Oryzias latipes: one gene and its partners. The protein of the gene in region 1 purifies or fractionates together with the protein of each later gene. This does not show direct contact. Links are inferred from orthologs where the notes say so. Each region holds a gene or a part of one and is shown in the gene's direction. Other genes may lie near its edges.

Region 1 (4,061 bases):
AGGAAAAAAACAGCTAAAAAAGATAAATCTGATAGGATGGTGGAAAGTAAAAATTAAAAGGAGAAAAGTCTGTTCCTGCGTATTTGGCATCACGTTTAGATTTGGACGTTTTGGATATCGAGAGGAGGAAACAAGCATCTCTGTGCACCTGCAGCTCCAGCTGCTGATGTGAGACGACAAGTACAGTTTCAGCCAGGAAGCACCGCTAAGACAACTTAGCCCTCAGAAACGGAAAGAACATTTGAGTTCCTGCAAACTTTAGAAAGATGAGAAAACTGTTGTTTTTCTGTGGCAAAAAAAGAAAGAATTGTATTAAACATTTACAATAAAAATCCCATTGATTGAAACCTTTACCTTTGATCAGTCTGAGGCCAACGCTGTCCGTGTTTGTGAGGATGAGTCCAACATGAATCCAATTTAAAGGCTCACTCTGAGGAAAACGGTGTTTTTAACATGTTATTGTGGCATTTTTCTGATGATGAGGACATTTATGGTAAGTGGAGTGCCCTCATATACCACTTTCCTACCCTCTCAGAAAGCCAGAAGCACTTAACAGTCACACTCGCCCACACACACACACACACACACACACACACACACACACACACACACACACACACACACACACCCACACACTGCTGCTGAACACTGGCATCAACCTATGACCACCAGCAGCAATGTGAGGTTCAGTGTCTTGCTCAAAGACTCTTCGGCACATGGGTGGGAACCGAACCTGCAGTGTTCCGATCAGAGGTCGACCGCTGTACCTCTGCTCCACAGCCGCTCCAACCATTTAAAGAAAAATAAAATAAAAACTACATTTCTGAGTATTTCTTTATTCAAGGAGGGGAAGGGTAAGAGTGCTATTAAAAAACAACAAATGAGGAACATTTGTTTTTCTCAAAATACTCCAGAGATTATGAAATGTTTTTGGTTATTTCCTATAGTCTTGCCTTGGTATTTTGTTTTATTTTATTAACATTTTATTACTAAATATATAAATATAAAAGTTATTTGCCAACATGATTCTTGAGGTTTTAACTAAAGTAACTTATTTTCTCTTTTTAAAGGATCATATTACAAACATTTTATGAATAAAGTAGCCGGCCTAACACCAAAACTGAACTTTTTTGGTTTAAAATTAACATTTGTAAATTAACATTTGTAAATTAACATTTGTAAATTAACATTTGTAATATGTTTTAGATAAAAGCAGGAGCACCTACTAATGCAGATATATGTTTATTTTATGTTTTGTCTTTTTTCTACATTAAGAAACTCCATCATTTGCATGTCCTGACAGGAACTGAGTTGCTTTTAGCTCCTTCTCAGTTTCATTTAGTTATTTATTTTCAGGTTAAACTTTGATCAAACAGGAAGGCCTGCTGTGGAGTAAGGCGCCTGTAGTGAGGACACACCTGTCTGCATTCAGCGCTTCTACGTCCAACACCTAAAAAGCTGAAAGGTGCAGAACCCACCTTCCCGGCTGACGTCACAATCCAAGACCCATAGAACCAACCAAGTCCCACTCGAGAACGGAGATTAGAGTCGGATGACGTCACAGTATCAAAAAGCACCTGTGGCAGGTATGACCGTGAGGGGATTCCGGTGAAGTTTGTGGGTCTGTTTCTGAGGCAGAATCGACTCATTTGTCCGTTAACGTTTGTCCCTGAGCTCGCGGCTGGGATTCGGAGGAGGTCACGGTGACGTCACAGTCCCCGTGGAGGGCGGAGAGCAGCTCGCGGCAGCAGGTGAGCGCGCGGCAGAGCGGAGAGCAGAGCCATGGGGAAGCTGCAGGAGTTTGACATCTTCTACACCAACAACAAGGTGGTCTACGGTCCGGGGGAGTCCGTCAGCGGGGTCGTGAGGATCCGGACCAGCAGCGCGCTGCATTACAAAGGTACGGGGGAGGGGGGGGGGGGGGGTGCTGGGCTGCGCGCGCTTCCGCTAGCGGCGCCTGTGCATCACTCAGTCGGTGAGGTGAAACTTTTGCCTCGCGACGGTGCAGGGATGGGAGCGCGCGGCTGAAAAGCTGCTGTTGTAAAGTTTCTGCTAAACGAGCGAGCCTGCTGGGACGGGCTGTTCTTTAGCGCGGATGAATCTCCCAAAAATAACAACAAGCGATCAGGTGGTGGTGGTGTGTGTATGTGTGTGTGTGTGTGTGTGTGTGGGGGGGGGGGGGGGTAAGGACACCGGAACTTCTGAATTCTGGGTTCAAGGGGAAACTCGGTTCATGTAGTGTAAAAGAACGAGTCCGTGCGCACTTCCTACAGGCGGAGGGTCTGTCTGTCTGTCTGATAGTTTTTTGTTGGTTTATGATCGGCTCTCCTCTTTGTGCTCTTCTGTGTTGGGCTGCGTGATGCTCTTTAAAATACCAGCTCCACATTGTAACTTTTTGGCATTCAGAGACAAGCCCATATGACCAGCACTCCACCACCATGCCTGACAGATGGGAGGCAGAGATTTCCCCAAAAATTGTTTGAGGACAGAGACGATGTGACTCAAGCTGAACCTGAAGCTCAGTCTGCAGGTGTCTTTTAACCCCCCATCCTAGGAGGTTACCTAACTGCTTTTTACTCAGTTTGATGCATTTGCCTGATTCTGACACAATAATTATTTGAAATCAAAACCCGGAAATATAGAACAGACAGAGTGAGCTTTCTAAGACATCGGATTCCTTTTTAAGATCTTTCTCCCAAACCTGTAGTCATAAGGAGGATAGCAGGTTGGAGGAAACAGAGGGTCCATTGTGTGAGGTGACCCTGGTCAGACTGAGGCGCCCCTCAGTGGCAGGCAGGTACAAAGCCCCTGCCACCAACGGGGACTGCAGGGACGGAAATCCAATGATGGAGCTTTTCTTCATGGCGGAAAGTCCCGAACTGCAGAGGGATCGTCTGTTACGACCTGATCTGAGGCCCACCACTCCGTTCACTGCAGGAGGAGTTGATCTAAAACTGATGCATTTGATGTGCTGTGGCAACATGGAAAAGACCCCCAAAAGAATGATTTACTTCAGTTATAGCAGCTAAAGCTGCTTGATTTGAACAAAAGATTGAAGAGAATCTTACTCAAGCCGCACATGGATACCAAAGATCACTGTTGTCGGCTAATCCAGTGGTCCCTGGGCTGTGGACCAGTACCGGTCCGAGGGACAGTTGGTAAAAGCACAACCTACCCCCCCCCCCCCCTCATTTTATTTATAATCTGATTCTGAAGGAAGTTTTATTTTGGAACACTACTGGGTTCTCTCCACCACATCCAACTCGTTCTTGAGTTGGATGTTCTGGATTTTGACTCGGTCACGTGTACAAAACCCTAAAGCGGCTGCCGCTAAATTGAAACTCCAAGCTAGCAAAATAACCAAAAAACGTATTTGGAAAGTTCCAGTGGGGAAACAGAGGAAGAGCCTTCAACTTCAAAATAAAAATAAATCTGCATTTAAGACAGAAACTAGGAGTCTTTTCTCAGAAAAGGATTTATTGTTATTTTTTTTCAATAATGCAGAATACTCATCAACCAGCTGTTTAATGTTATGGATATCATAGGTCTGATTCGCATATTTGGTTTGGCAAAGACTTTACATCAGATTCTGTTCCTGACACAACCCTCTGTCTTTATCCGGGCTTGGGACCAGCACAATGGGACCCTGGCTTGGGCCCCGTCGTGGCTACATTTCATTTGGAAAAACAAAACCCAAACATTTATTTCAAATAATATTTTAAATAAAGTCCTTATTAACTATCTAAATCCAAGGTTTTACTCCCATCATAGTGTATTCCAATGATTTTTATGCTTTCTGAAAATAAACCTGGTAACTAAACAGGAAGTTTTTTTTAATACTTTTGTGATTTTTTATTTATGCCAACAAATAGAAATATCAATCTGCTGGGATTTGAGAAGACAGAAAATAGACAAACACCAGATGATCTGTGTAAGACAAAACCGCCAAGTCAGTAACTGCAGCAGTGGGAGAACAGAGAGCAGATAAGCATCAAATCGCTGCAACATCTGTTTAAAACAAACTGCAACCATGACCCTGCAGTGGAGCAGACGGAGGAACC
Region 2 (3,515 bases), on another chromosome or scaffold:
AAACGTTGATGGTTTATTTCAAAAACGCATTGAAATACATTTCTTTTGGGGCAAAAATGGTCCAGACGCAATGCATTGTGGTCTATATTCGCCGGTCTAGTGAGCATCGATGCACACTGGTTTTTCGCAGAGACTTCTGGGAAATTTCTATGGCACTGGATTTTGGAATTGTAGATTTGGACAGCACTACAAAATGGTGAACGCGCTAAATAGTGAGTAGGGAAGGAACACAACCAAAAAAAAAATAACACGCGCCGACACGCTACATGTTAGCCCCGTTAGCTTATTCCCCACACATGTAACCTCCTTAGCTTCACATAGAAAAACAAAGGAATAACGCTAAAACAAGCATTATTGTGACCACACTGAGGCCCTACCTGGCTGGTAATACTGTAAAAAAAGAACACAGTCTGACACCGCTACACGTTAGCCATGTTAACGTGTTCACAATAACACCCAACCTTGAGTTCAACTCAGAAAACAGACCAACATTCTGACAGAGCGTCACTTCAACATCAGTTAATCCGTACATGGATTATAGTATGGAAAACACTGTATTTAATTATGAATTAAAGCTCGGGGACAAAACATGATTGTAGGATGTGGCTGGGTTGATAAAATCCGAGCTCAATAAATCGGTAATCGATCAATAAAAGTAGCGATCGAGAGATCACCTAAGACATTTTAAAACAAAATATAAAGAAAATGAAATCTTTTCAAGGATCCAATAGTTTCTCAGTCAGTCTCTCCCCCCTCGTCCATCATCAGGAGACCCGCTCGCGCCCTCCATGGCGACGCAGCCCAGCCGTTTCCCCGACTACCTGGACACCATCCCCGGCACGGACGTGGACCTGGGCACCCTGGAGGGGGAGAGCATGGCGGTGGAGGGCGAGGAGCTGATGCCCAGCCTGCAGGAGGCCCTGAGCTCCGACATCCTCAACGACATGGAGTCCGTGCTGGCAGCTACCAAGATCGACAAGGAGAGCTTCCTCACATGGTTATAGAGGAGGCGCCATCCTCCACCTCCTCTTCCTCCTCCTCCTCCTCTTCCTCCCTGTGCTCTGAACTGCCTGCTCTCATCCTTAGAAGGGTTCATGGATGCTTTTTACCAGACATTTCAGCCAACCTTTTTTTGGGACTTGTGTGAGACTCCGCCCCCTGCCCCCCCCCTCCCCTTTCAGGCAGTATTCCTCCTCTCTGGTGTTTTTAATTGTGTCTGTGTCTTCAAGGCTGGCCTATGAACAGACAATTATGCAAAGCGGCCTCCTCGTGGATCTGGAGCCCGCTTCTACCTTCAGCATCTTAACGAACTCGCGTTGGCGACGACCGGGCGCCATCTCTGCCGCAGTGTAGCGCCGCCTGCTTTCTAACCAACCTGAGAAACCAAAAATGATGTATTTGGAGAACAAGAAACAATACTGATTTGGAGTAAAGGTCACAAGAGGCCCCGGTTGGACATTTTGGCAGGGGGAGGGGGGCGTTCAAACGTAGGGACCGACTACACTGCTGCTTGGCTGTGCCAGCAAGTCTAAGTTAAACCTTTTTGATAGATCAAGTGCCTTCAGTTGTATTTTTTTTTTCTTTTCTTTGTACTTTTTTTAAAGATGCGAGCAACTCGAAGAATTACTCTGCAATATGAAAGCATCTGGCGTTTTTTTCTTTTTCTTTTTTATCATATATATATATCCGCCTTCTAGTGTTCAGCAATCACAATCTAGTTTTCAACAGAATTGGGGAATCCCTTTTTAACCCTTCGTATGTCGGTCTTATTCAGGCCTAACTCCCAGTTTTAGTCGTTTTTTTTAGTACTTTTTTAGCTTATTACATGTGTAGCTTAGTTCAAACTGCTTGAGTTTTACTGTCGTGGATGAACTGTACCATTTTTAACACAGTCTGTTGTTGAGATTTATTCTTTTTTTGTTTTACTTTATATACATATATACATATATGTATTATTTGTGTTGTACTATTGTTGATCACAAAGCGGCTTTTTTGCAAAACATTAACCAAAAAGGCTTTTTTTTTGTTAAATTTAAATTTCAGAAACTCTTCCTCCGATTGCTTCCAGCTTGCAATGTTTTGTTTTTTTTAAATTGCAAGTTCTGAAGCTGTCTTCCTCTAGAGGGCGCTGTGGCCTCTGCGCATTGAGGGTTCAAAAGAAGAGGTTTGGTCAAGCGGGTTGTAAAGAAAGTCACGTCAGGAGCGGTGTAGAGATGTGGTAGACGAGATTTGATTCGATTTTTGTTTGTTTTTTGTTTCTTCCGTGAGTTTGTAACCCCGGAACAATCGAACAGCACGGTCAGGAGCAGTCGCAGCAGATTCCAAAGACGTTTTCTCGTAACGACACTAACATTTAGTTTTGGTTCCCATAAATCGGCTTCTGTACGAACAAAACTGTATAAGCTAACCAGATGATTTGTGTGTTTTAAGGTGTTATTGGAGATGTCTAAAGAAGTTTTTCCTCTCTTTCTGTTTGTAGGTGGTTGTTTTGAGTGACTAATAACCCTAAACGTTTTTTTTTTGTAAGATGAGGCCTCAGAACAGAGGAGAAAGCGTTTCTCCCATCAGCACTCGCATGTTTACATACTTTTGGGGAAACTGCTGCAGCAGCAGTGGAGACGACACACTCTCACAGTTGTTTTTTGATGTTTACACCGTTGCATCCCTGCAGAAGAAGCAGTCTGCCGTGCACGTCCTTTGGTTTAAGCCGCCGGAACACTCTACGTATATGTACATAGACATACATATATGTTTTTGTTTATTTTTAAGGACTGTTGTCTTTCATTGTTTCCTGAGAACCCTTTTTAATTGATTCTAAATCACATATTGATGGATTGATGGACAGTGTTGGTGATAACAGTGCAGCAAAAGGGGCGGGACACCACGAGGCGGCTTTAGGTTTTTCATTCAAATGCAGAGATGTCACTGAAAAGCTGATTTTTAATGCTTAACTTAGTGTGTACTTGTCAGAGCATTACTAGCTGTTGACTCACCGTAGCAGTAGAACTAATCAAAAAGTTAAAGGATTTTGTATTTAGAGTTCTCTAAATGCACATGAAATGAGTTTGTATTCAACAAAGACTGTTCATTTTGTTTTGATAGATATGTGCATGTGTTTTAGAACAATAAATCCTGTTACATTATATACCTTTCTTCATATGATACTTTGAAATTGGCCTCAAATAAAGTATATACTTTGTGGTAATCCTTACTTGTGTGAATGGTTTTCACATTGGAACTATTTTTTCTGATTGTGTAAAATGAATATATATATATATATATATATATATATATATATTTTCAGTTACAAAAGTGTTCTGTAATTTTACTTGTTTTTTGGAAACAAATAAATAGGTGCGCATTTTTGTTAAGAACTAAAAAAATAAATGTAAAGTATTGCAGTGGTATAAATGTATAATAGTATAGAGAAAAGTTTATTTACATACCAATTTGGTTAATGATGGTCATGAAATTATTTGTATTTTTGTGAGTAAAAGATAATTCTATTATTTTTT
Region 3 (3,515 bases), on another chromosome or scaffold:
CTTTGCTTGTATATGTTGGCTAAGAATAAACTGGATTCCAAGCATTTTGCTCAAACCAAAAAAATCTTCCTTCTGTGTATAGTCAGAGCAGTTCCCCGTATTACCAAGAACAGGCGGATGTATCTGAGAAGACCTTAAGTGGTCTGGATTCAGAGAAATGATATGAGAAACCTCAAATGACTTCCAAGCCAAAATATTGTTTGTGACTTGTAAAAGTAAAAGCAAAGGTATCTTGCATGATTTGTAATTCAAATTAAAGTTACTTTTATCTATAAATAGTACAAAAATAAGAAAATAAAAAAGGAATGAAAATGTATTTATTTATTTTTTTTAACTTAAAAATCCAAATATAAAAATGAAAAGAAAAGCAATTATATAAAGAAAATTATTTTATTAATTCAATTTTTGAAATTCACCAGACTTCAGTTCAGTAGTTTACATATTGCAACACAAGTGTACAGTTCAAACTTTGTAATCTAACTCAGTAAATACCTCCAATCATTTTATAGGATACCCACTTAAATCCTTCCAAATGTTGACTTACAGCTTCCTAATTGTTCAAATTAGTTTGTTTTTAATGTAACTTTATCCAGTTTTTGGCTACTACTTTTATACTATACTTTGCCATGTTTTTTGTAATATTTTACAATCACTGATGTCAAAAATCTTTTTATTGTCAATAAAAATCTCTCTTATATTTATTTTCTAAAACAGTCCAAATAGTTTAAATGTATATAAATAAGTGATATTAGGTATAACCTGTCTGATCTTAATCCAATTTAAAACAAGTTACTTATTATTTATTTGTAGACAGAATAAAGCAGCTTTCTTTCTGATAATTATCTGACACTGTGAAAAGGACACAAGCGGAAACTGAGGTTTTTAGAGGAGTTTGTCACTTTGTCCTCACTTAATGACCCACTACAAGGGTCATTAAGTGTGGTTCTGTGTTTGGAAAACATGTTCTTTTACTATTTTACTCATGATGGAGGATATGTATACAGAAAATGAAGATTAAAACTGTATTTCTGAGTATTTCTTTAGTCAAATTGTTGTGAATTAGGGGCAGTCGAGAAATGCAGTTTAATAAAAGCCTGTCGTTGTTGCGTACAAACTCCAGTCGGCAGACCACAAGCTCCCTGCTCTGCTCCATTCTGATTCATCCACATGCATCTTTGTTTTCATCGTCTGGGCTGGCATCTGGCTCAGAACTGTGCGGTTGGATAGCTCTGATATTGCTTGCCATTTTTGTTGCACCGCTAATATTAGCTTGGGGTTTTGAGGGGCTGTAAGCTAGCAGGGAAGAGTGTAAGCCAAAGGAATGATGGGAAATAAGCATTGACTTGCTCCCCTCCAACAGTCCTACCCACAGCTCAGAACTACTGCCGCTCTGCAGAAACTATGTCCTAGAAAATGACACAATTTTTAAAATTTTGGCTAAAAACAGCATAATCATAATTAAAAGACCACTAGGGACGGTTTTGAAATAGATCAAAGGATGATCAGAGTGGGACTTTATCTTATTTTAATTGAAATATCTGTATTTTAAAACTTGATGTTTGTGTTGTGAAGCAACCTGACTGGGAGTTTCTGGAGGGCCAAGACATGTCGGGTCCACGACAAAGTCAGCTACAGCTTCCTTTGCCCCCAGGCTGGGAGGAGCGACAGGACAATTTGGGAAGAATTTACTATGTCAACCATGAAACCAGAACCACACAGTGGCAGCGACCCACAATACAGTAAGCCGGTGACCGTGTCTCATTGTTTTCTGTTAGGTCCATTCTTTGTGAGTGGTAATGTTTATATCTCTTGAACAGAGAAAGCCAACGCAGACTGAGCCTCTATGCAGATGGGGCACATACCTACATAACACGTAGGCAGATCTCTGAGCCTGATGAAAGTGCCCCCCAAGAGCCCTCTGAGGTAAAACGGCTTTGCCCTTTTCACTTCATCCTGTTCTTCTTTCCATTTTGTTTCGGAGAATGAGTTGATTTTTTTAAAGCTGGAAGTCAATGTTTGTAGTTAAACAAATAAATGAGCTTATTAAACCTCACTGTTTGTAAAAGCAAAAAACTGTCTTTCAAATTGGCTGAGAAATTATTAGGTCTTGAGCTTGAAGTGTCCTCTCACTCATTTGGCAGAGCTGGGAGATCCTTGGAGCAGATGAAATCCAAGCAGGAAGACGCAACAGTTACCGGCTCAGATCCCCATCACCCCAGGAACCGGCAGAATTCCACTCCTTCTGCGATGAGCTCGGAAACATTCATCTTTCACGATCCCCTACTCAAAATCACTGCATGTCTCAGATGGTCAGTTGTTTTCTATGCAGGATGTGGTTCCTGTTAGGGATTGCTAAAAAATTTGAATCAAAAGCAAAACAATTTCAGTAGTAAATGTCCTGTAAGCTATAAAAAACTTACCACCAAAATGATCTTTGACGTGCTCTGCTTCCTTTGCTACAGAATCACTTAAGTACCTCAAGACATTCCAGCATCAGTGATTTTCAATCTTCAACTGACGAGGAACAGCCAGTTAATCCTGTGGTGCTTATTTCTCTTTTAATCTGACCTGTTTTATATCATTTTTCTAAATTATCACTTCAGCTTGGTTTTTTTCTTGAACTAAACTACTACAATGGTTGAGTTTAAGTTAGTGTTTTTTCTTTCCTTTAAAAGTTGCTTCCAACCTCAACCGGGTTGCCTCCAGGTTGGGAAGAGAAGAGGGACAGTAAAGGCAGACGCTACTATGTCAACCACAACACCCGAACAACTTCATGGTCCAGACCTGTTGTTCAGGTACACGGTTATTCTTCTTACTTACCCATTTATATTTTATCTCTTGTTCTGTTTTTCACTCATTTTTAAATTAACTTTTCAAGATCATGTGTGTAACATTTTGTAGGTTTAACCCTCTGGATTTTTTTGATCATCGAGTCAATGTGAAACTTAGAAATAAAAAATTAATGATTTTTTCTTTTTTTATATCTGAAGTTTTTGAAATGGAAACCCTAACTACAATATTTCTACAAGCTCTAAAAAGCCAGTTTCTGAAACATGTGTGTTCCTGCTTTGTTGCTTAATTGTAGTAGCCTTTTTTCCAAAACACATTCTCAAAGATCTCACTTGCATAGAATTGTGAAAGTGTATTTGCAAGTTGTGGTTACTTCATCCAGTGCATTTCTCTAATGTAAAGCACTTTGAGATGTTGTGCGACAGGAAAGATGCTCTCTAAATAAAGTTGCATTTCAAATTTGTAAACAGTAGATATTTTTCTGTTAGCCATTGAAAACACAAATAACTCTGGAAAAAGTGTATTCATTTACTTAAAGAAAGACCACAGCAACACTATTAAGTAAAGTTGACTGTGACTTTATTATTTATTTTAGCAGTATGTAAGTAAATGTCTCAGTTTTTGTGGTTATCGACCAAAATCTAAAATCTTGTTGCCTGTCTATACTATGCTTCAAACTCAATATATTTTCTCTCTTTAATGCACAGAGACCCTCAGACGCAGCA
Region 4 (4,072 bases), on another chromosome or scaffold:
GTTTAATATTCGCGCCCCGCCCATTCGCGAATACGGGGGGATTACTGTAGTGTGTATCTTTAGCAGGAAATATAGAGATCTACTCATACAGTCATCACAAACTCTATTTTTACGACCATTTTGTCCTTCCTTGCTAGGATAGGCTCCAGCAACACCTTGACCCCAGAAGAGATAGAGAAGGTTCAGAAATTAAACAGATGGACGGGTGAATGGATGGATGAGTCAATGTAGGATTGGGTCAACTGTGTCTTAAAATATGGATTGATTATCTTCCAACTGTTTTAACTTGCACCACATCACCAGTCGTGTTACCAGTGTTTGAGCACAAAACCACGCCTCTTAATTGTTTCCCTCAATTCAAAAGTTTATGGTCAAAGTTCTGCTATTCTTATCAGACAGTTACTGATGCATTGGCAGAACTACTTCAATTTAAAACATTTTCATTCATTTAGTTCCCGTTGTTTGTTTTTGGCATCTTTGGTTGTTAAATTCTGATTTTTTTCATGAGTTAGATCTCTTAGATGTTTTCTGCTAAGGTACCTTATATATTATTTAACCCCTAAAATTTGCTTTGGTTCCAAGACAGCATCTGTAGTGACTTTTCAGTTGTCTTCAGTTGCCTGTTTTAAACCTCAGTAGTCTCTGCACTCACTGGTGAGTTTGCCAATCACACAGGCTGTTTAAAATGACGTAGGAATGGCATTGACGCCCCTATTAGGATCCTTTTCATTCAAAATGCAATGTGAAGGTTATGACACAAATTTGTGATGCCCCTTGGAATAAATTCTTGGAACTTTGAGTGAAGCTATGCCTAATGTTTTTGGGACATATTTCACATTATTTTGATTTTGTCTTTGCTTATTTATTGATTTATGCATTTGTGAATTGTCTCTAGACGTTTTGTCTTTGTTATAAAACACAAAACTGATCCGAATTTTGCAGTCAAAAGTGACAGATTTTTTGTATACTCTGAATTTAGAATTTTGGACAGTTTCAGGTTTGTTACAGACTTATTGTGTAATACAATGAAAAATATTTTTAAGAAAAAGAATCTGGGGTTATACTAAAAATTGATATCAAGCATTGCCCCAAGAACTGTATTAAAGATAAATTATTTGAGCAAATTGTAAAGAAGAAACTAAGATTAAAAAGGCCCTGGTTAAAGAAAATAGATTGTTTCTGTTTTGTTTGTTACTTCACGCAGTTATTTTTTTTCTTGGCTTGTTTGACCATTAAAACGGTCATTAGGGGTGATAAATCTGAAAAGATTGTGAGAAATTGCTTTCCTTTGACTGTCAGAGAAGACACAGAACTCAAAGGGGTCATCTTCGTGATAGACGATCTCTAGACGTAAAGTGGAAAGTTCTACGTTGTGCGCATGCGCTCCCCGGGATTAATGTCAGGGCACAAAAGTGGCGCTACACCGTTTCAAGATCTTCTCCGGTAAGCGATCCCCCCAGCCTGTCCATATATTCCACTTTCACGCCAAATTGCTCAAAGTTTTGGGAACTTGTGGGGGTTCTGGCGGCATTCCTGGGAATTCTCTTCAGAGCCAGCCCGAAAGCAGCATTCATATGAAAGGCTTTATTGGTAGTTACATTTTTACAGACATTTCCCTTTACGCTCCGTGTGCTGTGACTGCAGCCGCCTCCAGGCTCCACAGTATTGTTTAGTCGGCTCCCTAATGGCGGACGGCGGGCACTGGCGTTTTCCGCTGTGAGGTGTGCAGGGAGGGGGCAGATTTGGTGTGGTCGGGGCTTGTGGCTTACACCTGGCGTTCAGCAACAGGAAACCGCTCCAAAAATGATGCGTGCGTTTATCTGGGGTTTGTTGTTGACACAATTGAAGCTTGTTCATGTAACGGCAAAGGGAAGGGCGCCCCTTCCGGCGACCGGGTGTAAGTGCAACTGATTGCGCTAGGGTGGACTCTGCAGGGTAACTTTCCAATTAAAACCCCGGCTTCTCAGGTATCCTAGAAATCAGTAATTTTCAGCTGTGTCAAATACTGTAGTTGATACCAATGGCACGTGCCGGGGCGAGAAGGGCAAACTAAGCGACTGAAGAGGTTTTTTTTTTTTTTTTGGGTGAAAACAAACGTCAGCAGACGCTCGGAGTTGCGTTTTTAGCGCGTGCTCTGACGTGTTCGAGCTTTTTTTTGGGCCACATTGTCACGTATTTGAGTCAGTTGCGTTCGTTTTTAGAGGCGTTTTAACAATGGCGCAGTCTGGGTTTGCTCTCCTCCCCTCGGTCCGCCGCTAATCCAATGGCTGTTTGCGCCAGGAAAGGCAGGGGTGGGAACGGAAAACCCTCAACCACGTTTCCAATGAACCCCAACTTGGGAGCTCAACCCCCCCCACCACCACACACACAAACGCACGCTCGCGCGCGCATGGCTGAAAGAGTTGCGCAGCTCACGTAGCTGTTTTTTTTTAAACAAAAATATTTTCTTTGAAAGTTGTGGAGTTGGGTTTTATAAAGGTAATAAAAAAGAGGAGGGGTGACAGGCGCCGAGTGAACCGGGCGCCTGAATCTGATTCGGTGATTCCTGAACTGTATCATTAATCAAGGGCACGCTTCCCAGAAGGCTTTGCGCGCTTCCAATCCTCGGTGATTTTGTAGTTTCTCCTCAGGAAAGCCGCGTGGAGGGTTTTTAGTGCGGCATTTTGCTACCAGGTAACCAGAGGGGGCTGTTCTTGAGCCCATCAGCTGGTTGGGGGGGGGGGGGGGCAGGACATTATGCATCAGTGACATAAGCCTTATATAATAACCTCATTGGAATACGTCAGGAGTATTCTCCTCTGGTGCAAACAGCTGCACATCTCCACCTTGTGACCTTCTAGGAGAAACAGCTGGAAAGGCAGAGCAGCACCTTTGAGGTGGTGATGTGGCGCAGGCCCTGTGTGTTATTGCAGGGGGGCAGTCCCTCCACAGCTCCGGCCCACCTTCCTTTCCACCTGGTGTTGACATTGGGAGTGGGGTTGCATGTCAGAGCTAATTAATGCTGGATCCTCGTTTTTCCTCGCAGTCACGTGAACGCAACCTTCCTCCCAGCTCTGCATTGCAGTCTGGTCTCGGTCTAAACCAGGCTATTTCCCTCCATCAGAGCGCAGAGTCCTCAGCTGGTGGGATATTAGGTCAGAAAGCTGGATGGGAGATGCTGCTCATGCAGGAGAGCAGATCTGGGGATTCTTACGGCATTTCATCATTGTTAAGTCCAAAAATATCAAATTTTCTAAATCTCTGGACATCAGCAAAGGTATTGGCTTCCAGAGAGGAGCCTATATGAAATAAATGCTATGGACTTCCATCAGGTTTTTGAACAAATGCATTTATCTTTGGGGGTTTTCTGCTTCTTGTGCCTCCTGTCACTTGATCAGAGACTCTTTCCTCATTTGGCTTCACTGTCAGGCAGAACCAGCCTGCTGTTGAAGGTTTTCACTGCAAAGTTAAAGACCTACTCTGATGAAAATTGCGTTTTTGGTATTCTTGTGGTGTTTTTCTCACGATGGAAAGCTCAAAATTGCCTTTCTTAGTATTTCTTTATTCAAATTGTTGTGAATCAGGAATAAATGAAAAAATGCTACAGCGAGTCACACGTTCCCTTCTCCACTTTAGTGTAATGCGTCCACTTGCTTCAATATTGCTTGTCATTTTTGTTGCACTGGTAATGTTAGGTTGGGGGTGTGAGGGCTGTAAACTAGCAGGAGAAAGTGTAAACAGATAGATGATGGGATGTGGGAGCAGGCTTGCTCAGCACCAACAGTCCTGTCCACAACTCAGAGGTGAATTTCTAACGAACTACTGCCGCTCTGCAGAAACTGTCTTAAAAGACGACACCGCTTTTTGATTTTGACTAAAAACTGCACAATCATTTAAAGACCACTGGGAACGCTTTTGCAAAAGATCATGATGGGAGTGGTTCTTAAAGATTGTTTTACTCAAGAACAGCATTTCGAATTAGATTAGATTCAATTTATTTAGAAAATTGAATAAATACATCACATATGTAAACATGATTTATTCAAAAATCAATTTAGGATCTTATAGCCCTTGATTGGATTTAGTTAGCAGA
Region 5 (3,515 bases), about 17 Mb from region 1:
CTTCCTCTTATTCAAAAAGTCATCCTGTAACAAACTTTTCCCACGCACCTTATAATGAAAACAATTTACTTCTATATTAGTCTCAACCCGATATAATGTTTAATTACTTATAGATATGTAAAAATGTAAGTTAGAGCCTAATTCCTGGGTTTAAAATGAACATTTCTTAAAATCCTGGCTTTGTTACTTTGTTGAAACTCAATGAAGGACTTGCCTACGTTGTTCCAAAGTGTGCCACCTGGTGGCTGTCGAGAATAGTTTTTATTCTGTTTCTCTCTTCTTCTGAATTTAGAGATAACTACACTCTCCAAATTAATCCCAACTCTGGTCTGTGCAATGAAGATCACCTCTCTTATTTCAAGTTCATTGGGCGTGTGGCAGGCATGGCTGTGTTTCACGGAAAGCTTCTAGATGGTAGGTGGCTTCGTTCAATAGGCTATCTTTGACACAGCCTTTTACACTAAAATATCCGGAAAAAAGAAGTGTGTGTGTGTGTTAGGCCTGCACAATATACCGCAAATTTATCGTTATCGCGACATCAAGCTGTGCAATATGCATACCGCAAAAGACAGCGAAAATCGCAATGAATGGTTACCTTGACCCTTGTGCTATCCTAGGCCATTTAACATTGGGAGTGGGGTCATCTAGACCCACTAGACAGTGCACTGAACCTTTTTTCTTCAATGATTTGTGATCTTCACTGGTGTCCATGGATTACATGAAATCTTTCCACCTTTATCCACCTTTGTCATGGTAGGGAGAACAGGTCAAAGTAAGGGGGGGGGGGTCATCTAAGATAGCACAAGGGTTAAATGTGCTAAAACAAACTCATGGCAGCTTGAAATATTGAATAAATGAAATAAATCCCTTTATGCATTTAACCAATCGGAAGGACCCGTTTACATTGTTGATCAATCAAATGAGTCCTTTTATGTTTGATGTTTGCCTCCTTTGTCGACAAGGGTCATTTGGAGTATAATTTTTATACTGTTGCATTGAAATGGAAATGATGTTTTTGGTTGGTTTGATATTAGTTTATATAGCACAAATTATATCGTTATCGCAATATTAATCACCAATATCGCATATCGCGTGTTTTCTTCATATCGTGCAGCCCTAGTGTGTGTATATACATATATATTATTAATCATTTCCTGTCTTAATGTTTAAACTTTTATCATTAAAGCTTATTATTCACCATTGAGTTTTTTTACCTCCTAATTTATAGCATATTTAATGATACTCTTTTACCCAGAGTTCCATATGACACTCCTCCTGTATATTGTTGCAGGTTTTTTCATAAGGCCGTTTTACAAGATGATGCTGGGAAAATCGATCTCGCTTAAAGACATGGAGTCTGTGGTAAGAGCTCCCTCTGCAGTGAGACTGTTGTTGTTTATCTCTCTGCAAAATGTCTTTGGACCCTCTCTGCACACTTGTTTTGCTTTCAATGAGTCCCACATACTTCCTCTTCTTAGGTGCTTCCTCCAATTTTAGTTTTTCTTTTCTTTTTTTTTAGTCTCTTATTTCAAAAGAGAATCCTCTAAAACAATTTTTTTTTCTAAAATATAATGAAATATAAGTAAATATCATAAAGATTGAGATAATCTTTATCTAATTGTTATTTTTTAGGAAAATTCTCCTTGTAGCACTAGACCAGGGGTCTGCAACCTGAACCTCTCAAAGAGCCATTCGGATCAGTTTCCCACTGAGATGAAAGCACAGGGAGCCGCAACACTAGATGTGTTAGAATAATGTTTTTGCCGATATATCACGATAGTTCAATTGGCAATACTTGTATTGATTCAAAATGCTGTCAGGATAGTTATTTAATTATTTATTTTAATTATTTTTATTCTTTATGAGCGTGTTGTTTCTTTTGATCTTTTGTCCATTTTCCACAATCTTGAATAGACTTTTCTGTCTGTCAAACACCCACAGTTAAGATGATGGAAAAAAATTCAATTTGATTTAGACTCCTGTCTATTTTGATTTTGATTTAAATCCAGTAAACTCAATAAATTATATTAATTTTATGGATGACAACTATTTTTATTAGGAAGCAGCTGTGAGTCTAAGCCCCGCCCCCGCCTCTCTACCTGTTCGTTGTTTTCCCCCGCGTGCAACCCCCCCTCCAGCGTGTTCTACACAGACAGCGCAACATACAGCAAGGTGACAGGATAGTAGGGGCGCCCTAACGCAAATTTAATTGATTTTTTTACGCGGAAATGGGTGGTTTTAGTCTAGGGTGAAAAAGGGTTTTTTTTGGGGGGGGGGCTCATTTGTCCCCTACGAGATCGCCACTGACTTTCTTTCTAGAAAAACTTTCCATCCCACAACAGACCCTGGTTGGCGTTCACAGCTGCAGACACGCCCCCTCTGCGCGTTCACGCTGCTCTCTTCATCCTCCTTTCTTCATGCTCGCTCTACCCGACGGTGTTAAAGACACCACGACAATCTGAGAACATGATAGTTATTTTACACAAACACAGAGAGCCGCATCACAGGGAGGAAATAACCGCATGCGGCTCTGGGGCTGCCGGTTGCCGACCCCTGCACTATACACTTTAAGGGAAAGAAATGATAAAAAATGTTGGTTGGCTTGTTGTGTTGTGGGCTGCAGTCACGTCACCAGTGATGTTGGATCCTTTGGTTTGAACGGTTTGTGACACTTTAAAATGTAAAGAATGGCAGAGTAAAGGAAGCTGTTTGTGTCCATCGCCTGCAGGACAGTGAATACTACAACTCTCTGAAGTGGATTCTGGAGAACGATCCCACTGAACTTGACCTGAGGTTTTGTATAGATGAGGACAACTTTGGACAGGTGTGAAGATCTGAAATCACTATTTTTGACCTCTAGACGTTTAAACTTATATGAATTGTGTCTAAACCGTTTTGCTTCCCCTCAGACCTACCAGGTGGACTTGAAGCCCAGTGGCTCAGAACTGGTGGTTACCAATGACAACAAAAAGGAGTACATAGAGTATGTTTAACCATTTCTCTATGAAAAAGGAAATCTGTCAAATCACTGTTGTATTAAAAAAAAAAAAAAAAACTTCACTTGTTCTTTTCCTTTCAGCCTGGTAATTCAGTGGAGATTCGTCAACCGGGTCCAGAAGCAGATGAATGCATTCTTGGAGGTACCTGTCTGCACTTATAACTACTACCACATGGGGGCAGTGTGGAAAACAAGTTCCTAAATGCATTTTGTCTACCGTAATTCAAATTGGCTTGATTATGTTGATCGGTTACATAATGTTTTTTTCTGTAATTTTGCTGCTTTGGTTCTTGGATAAAACATGATGTTGACAAAACTGCTTTTGTTTATTTTCCAGGGCTTCACTGAGCTCATCCAGATTGATCTGATCAAGATCTTTGATGAAAACGAGTTGGAGGTGAGGAGGCCTTGCTGCTGGTTTCAAAAGCTGTTTTTTGAACAATGAATTTACAACAAAAATATATATACATATAAACATAGCAAAGAATCTGATGTGCTTCTAGGCCCTTAAATTACA

The links.
Region 2: the proteins of arrdc1 (region 1) and yap1 purify together in Homo sapiens (affinity purification with mass spectrometry; 3 studies listed by BioGRID and IntAct, counting the BioPlex papers as one, with this or other methods). This does not show direct contact. The link is inferred for Oryzias latipes from reciprocal best matches to the Homo sapiens genes ARRDC1 and YAP1.
Region 3: the proteins of arrdc1 (region 1) and nedd4 purify together in Homo sapiens (affinity purification with mass spectrometry; 3 studies listed by BioGRID and IntAct, counting the BioPlex papers as one, with this or other methods). This does not show direct contact. The link is inferred for Oryzias latipes from reciprocal best matches to the Homo sapiens genes ARRDC1 and NEDD4.
Region 4: the proteins of arrdc1 (region 1) and zmym2 purify together in Homo sapiens (affinity purification with mass spectrometry; 3 studies listed by BioGRID and IntAct, counting the BioPlex papers as one, with this or other methods). This does not show direct contact. The link is inferred for Oryzias latipes from reciprocal best matches to the Homo sapiens genes ARRDC1 and ZMYM2.
Region 5: the proteins of arrdc1 (region 1) and nedd4l purify together in Homo sapiens (affinity purification with mass spectrometry; 3 studies listed by BioGRID and IntAct, counting the BioPlex papers as one, with this or other methods). This does not show direct contact. The link is inferred for Oryzias latipes from reciprocal best matches to the Homo sapiens genes ARRDC1 and NEDD4L.

Annotation. Positions count from the first base shown.
Region 1 is NC_019870.2:26,762,307-26,766,367, reverse strand, and holds the start of arrdc1 (arrestin domain-containing protein 1), read left to right. Parts: upstream 1-1,246; 5' UTR 1,247-1,782; coding exon 1,783-1,900; intron 1,901-4,061. UniProt on the Homo sapiens protein: Functions as an adapter recruiting ubiquitin-protein ligases to their specific substrates. Through an ubiquitination-dependent mechanism plays for instance a role in the incorporation of SLC11A2 into extracellular vesicles.
Region 2 is NC_019871.2:6,517,353-6,520,867, forward strand, and holds the end of yap1 (transcriptional coactivator YAP1), read left to right. Parts: intron 1-768; coding exon 769-1,004; 3' UTR 1,005-3,205; downstream 3,206-3,515. UniProt on the Homo sapiens protein: Transcriptional regulator with dual roles as a coactivator and corepressor. Critical downstream regulatory target in the Hippo signaling pathway, crucial for organ size control and tumor suppression by restricting proliferation and promoting apoptosis.
Region 3 is NC_019861.2:21,578,341-21,581,855, forward strand, and holds part of nedd4 (E3 ubiquitin-protein ligase NEDD4), read left to right. Parts: intron 1-1,572; coding exon 1,573-1,739; intron 1,740-1,817; coding exon 1,818-1,923; intron 1,924-2,141; coding exon 2,142-2,309; intron 2,310-2,462; coding exon 2,463-2,543; intron 2,544-2,675; coding exon 2,676-2,795; intron 2,796-3,497; coding exon 3,498-3,515. UniProt on the Homo sapiens protein: E3 ubiquitin-protein ligase which accepts ubiquitin from an E2 ubiquitin-conjugating enzyme in the form of a thioester and then directly transfers the ubiquitin to targeted substrates. Specifically ubiquitinates 'Lys-63' in target proteins.
Region 4 is NC_019879.2:11,194,412-11,198,483, forward strand, and holds the start of zmym2 (zinc finger MYM-type protein 2), read left to right. Parts: upstream 1-1,267; 5' UTR 1,268-1,443; intron 1,444-4,072. UniProt on the Homo sapiens protein: Involved in the negative regulation of transcription.
Region 5 is NC_019870.2:9,948,429-9,951,943, forward strand, and holds part of nedd4l (E3 ubiquitin-protein ligase NEDD4-like), read left to right. Parts: intron 1-292; coding exon 293-414; intron 415-1,291; coding exon 1,292-1,362; intron 1,363-2,728; coding exon 2,729-2,824; intron 2,825-2,909; coding exon 2,910-2,983; intron 2,984-3,079; coding exon 3,080-3,140; intron 3,141-3,335; coding exon 3,336-3,395; intron 3,396-3,515. UniProt on the Homo sapiens protein: E3 ubiquitin-protein ligase that mediates the polyubiquitination of lysine and cysteine residues on target proteins and is thereby implicated in the regulation of various signaling pathways including autophagy, innate immunity or DNA repair.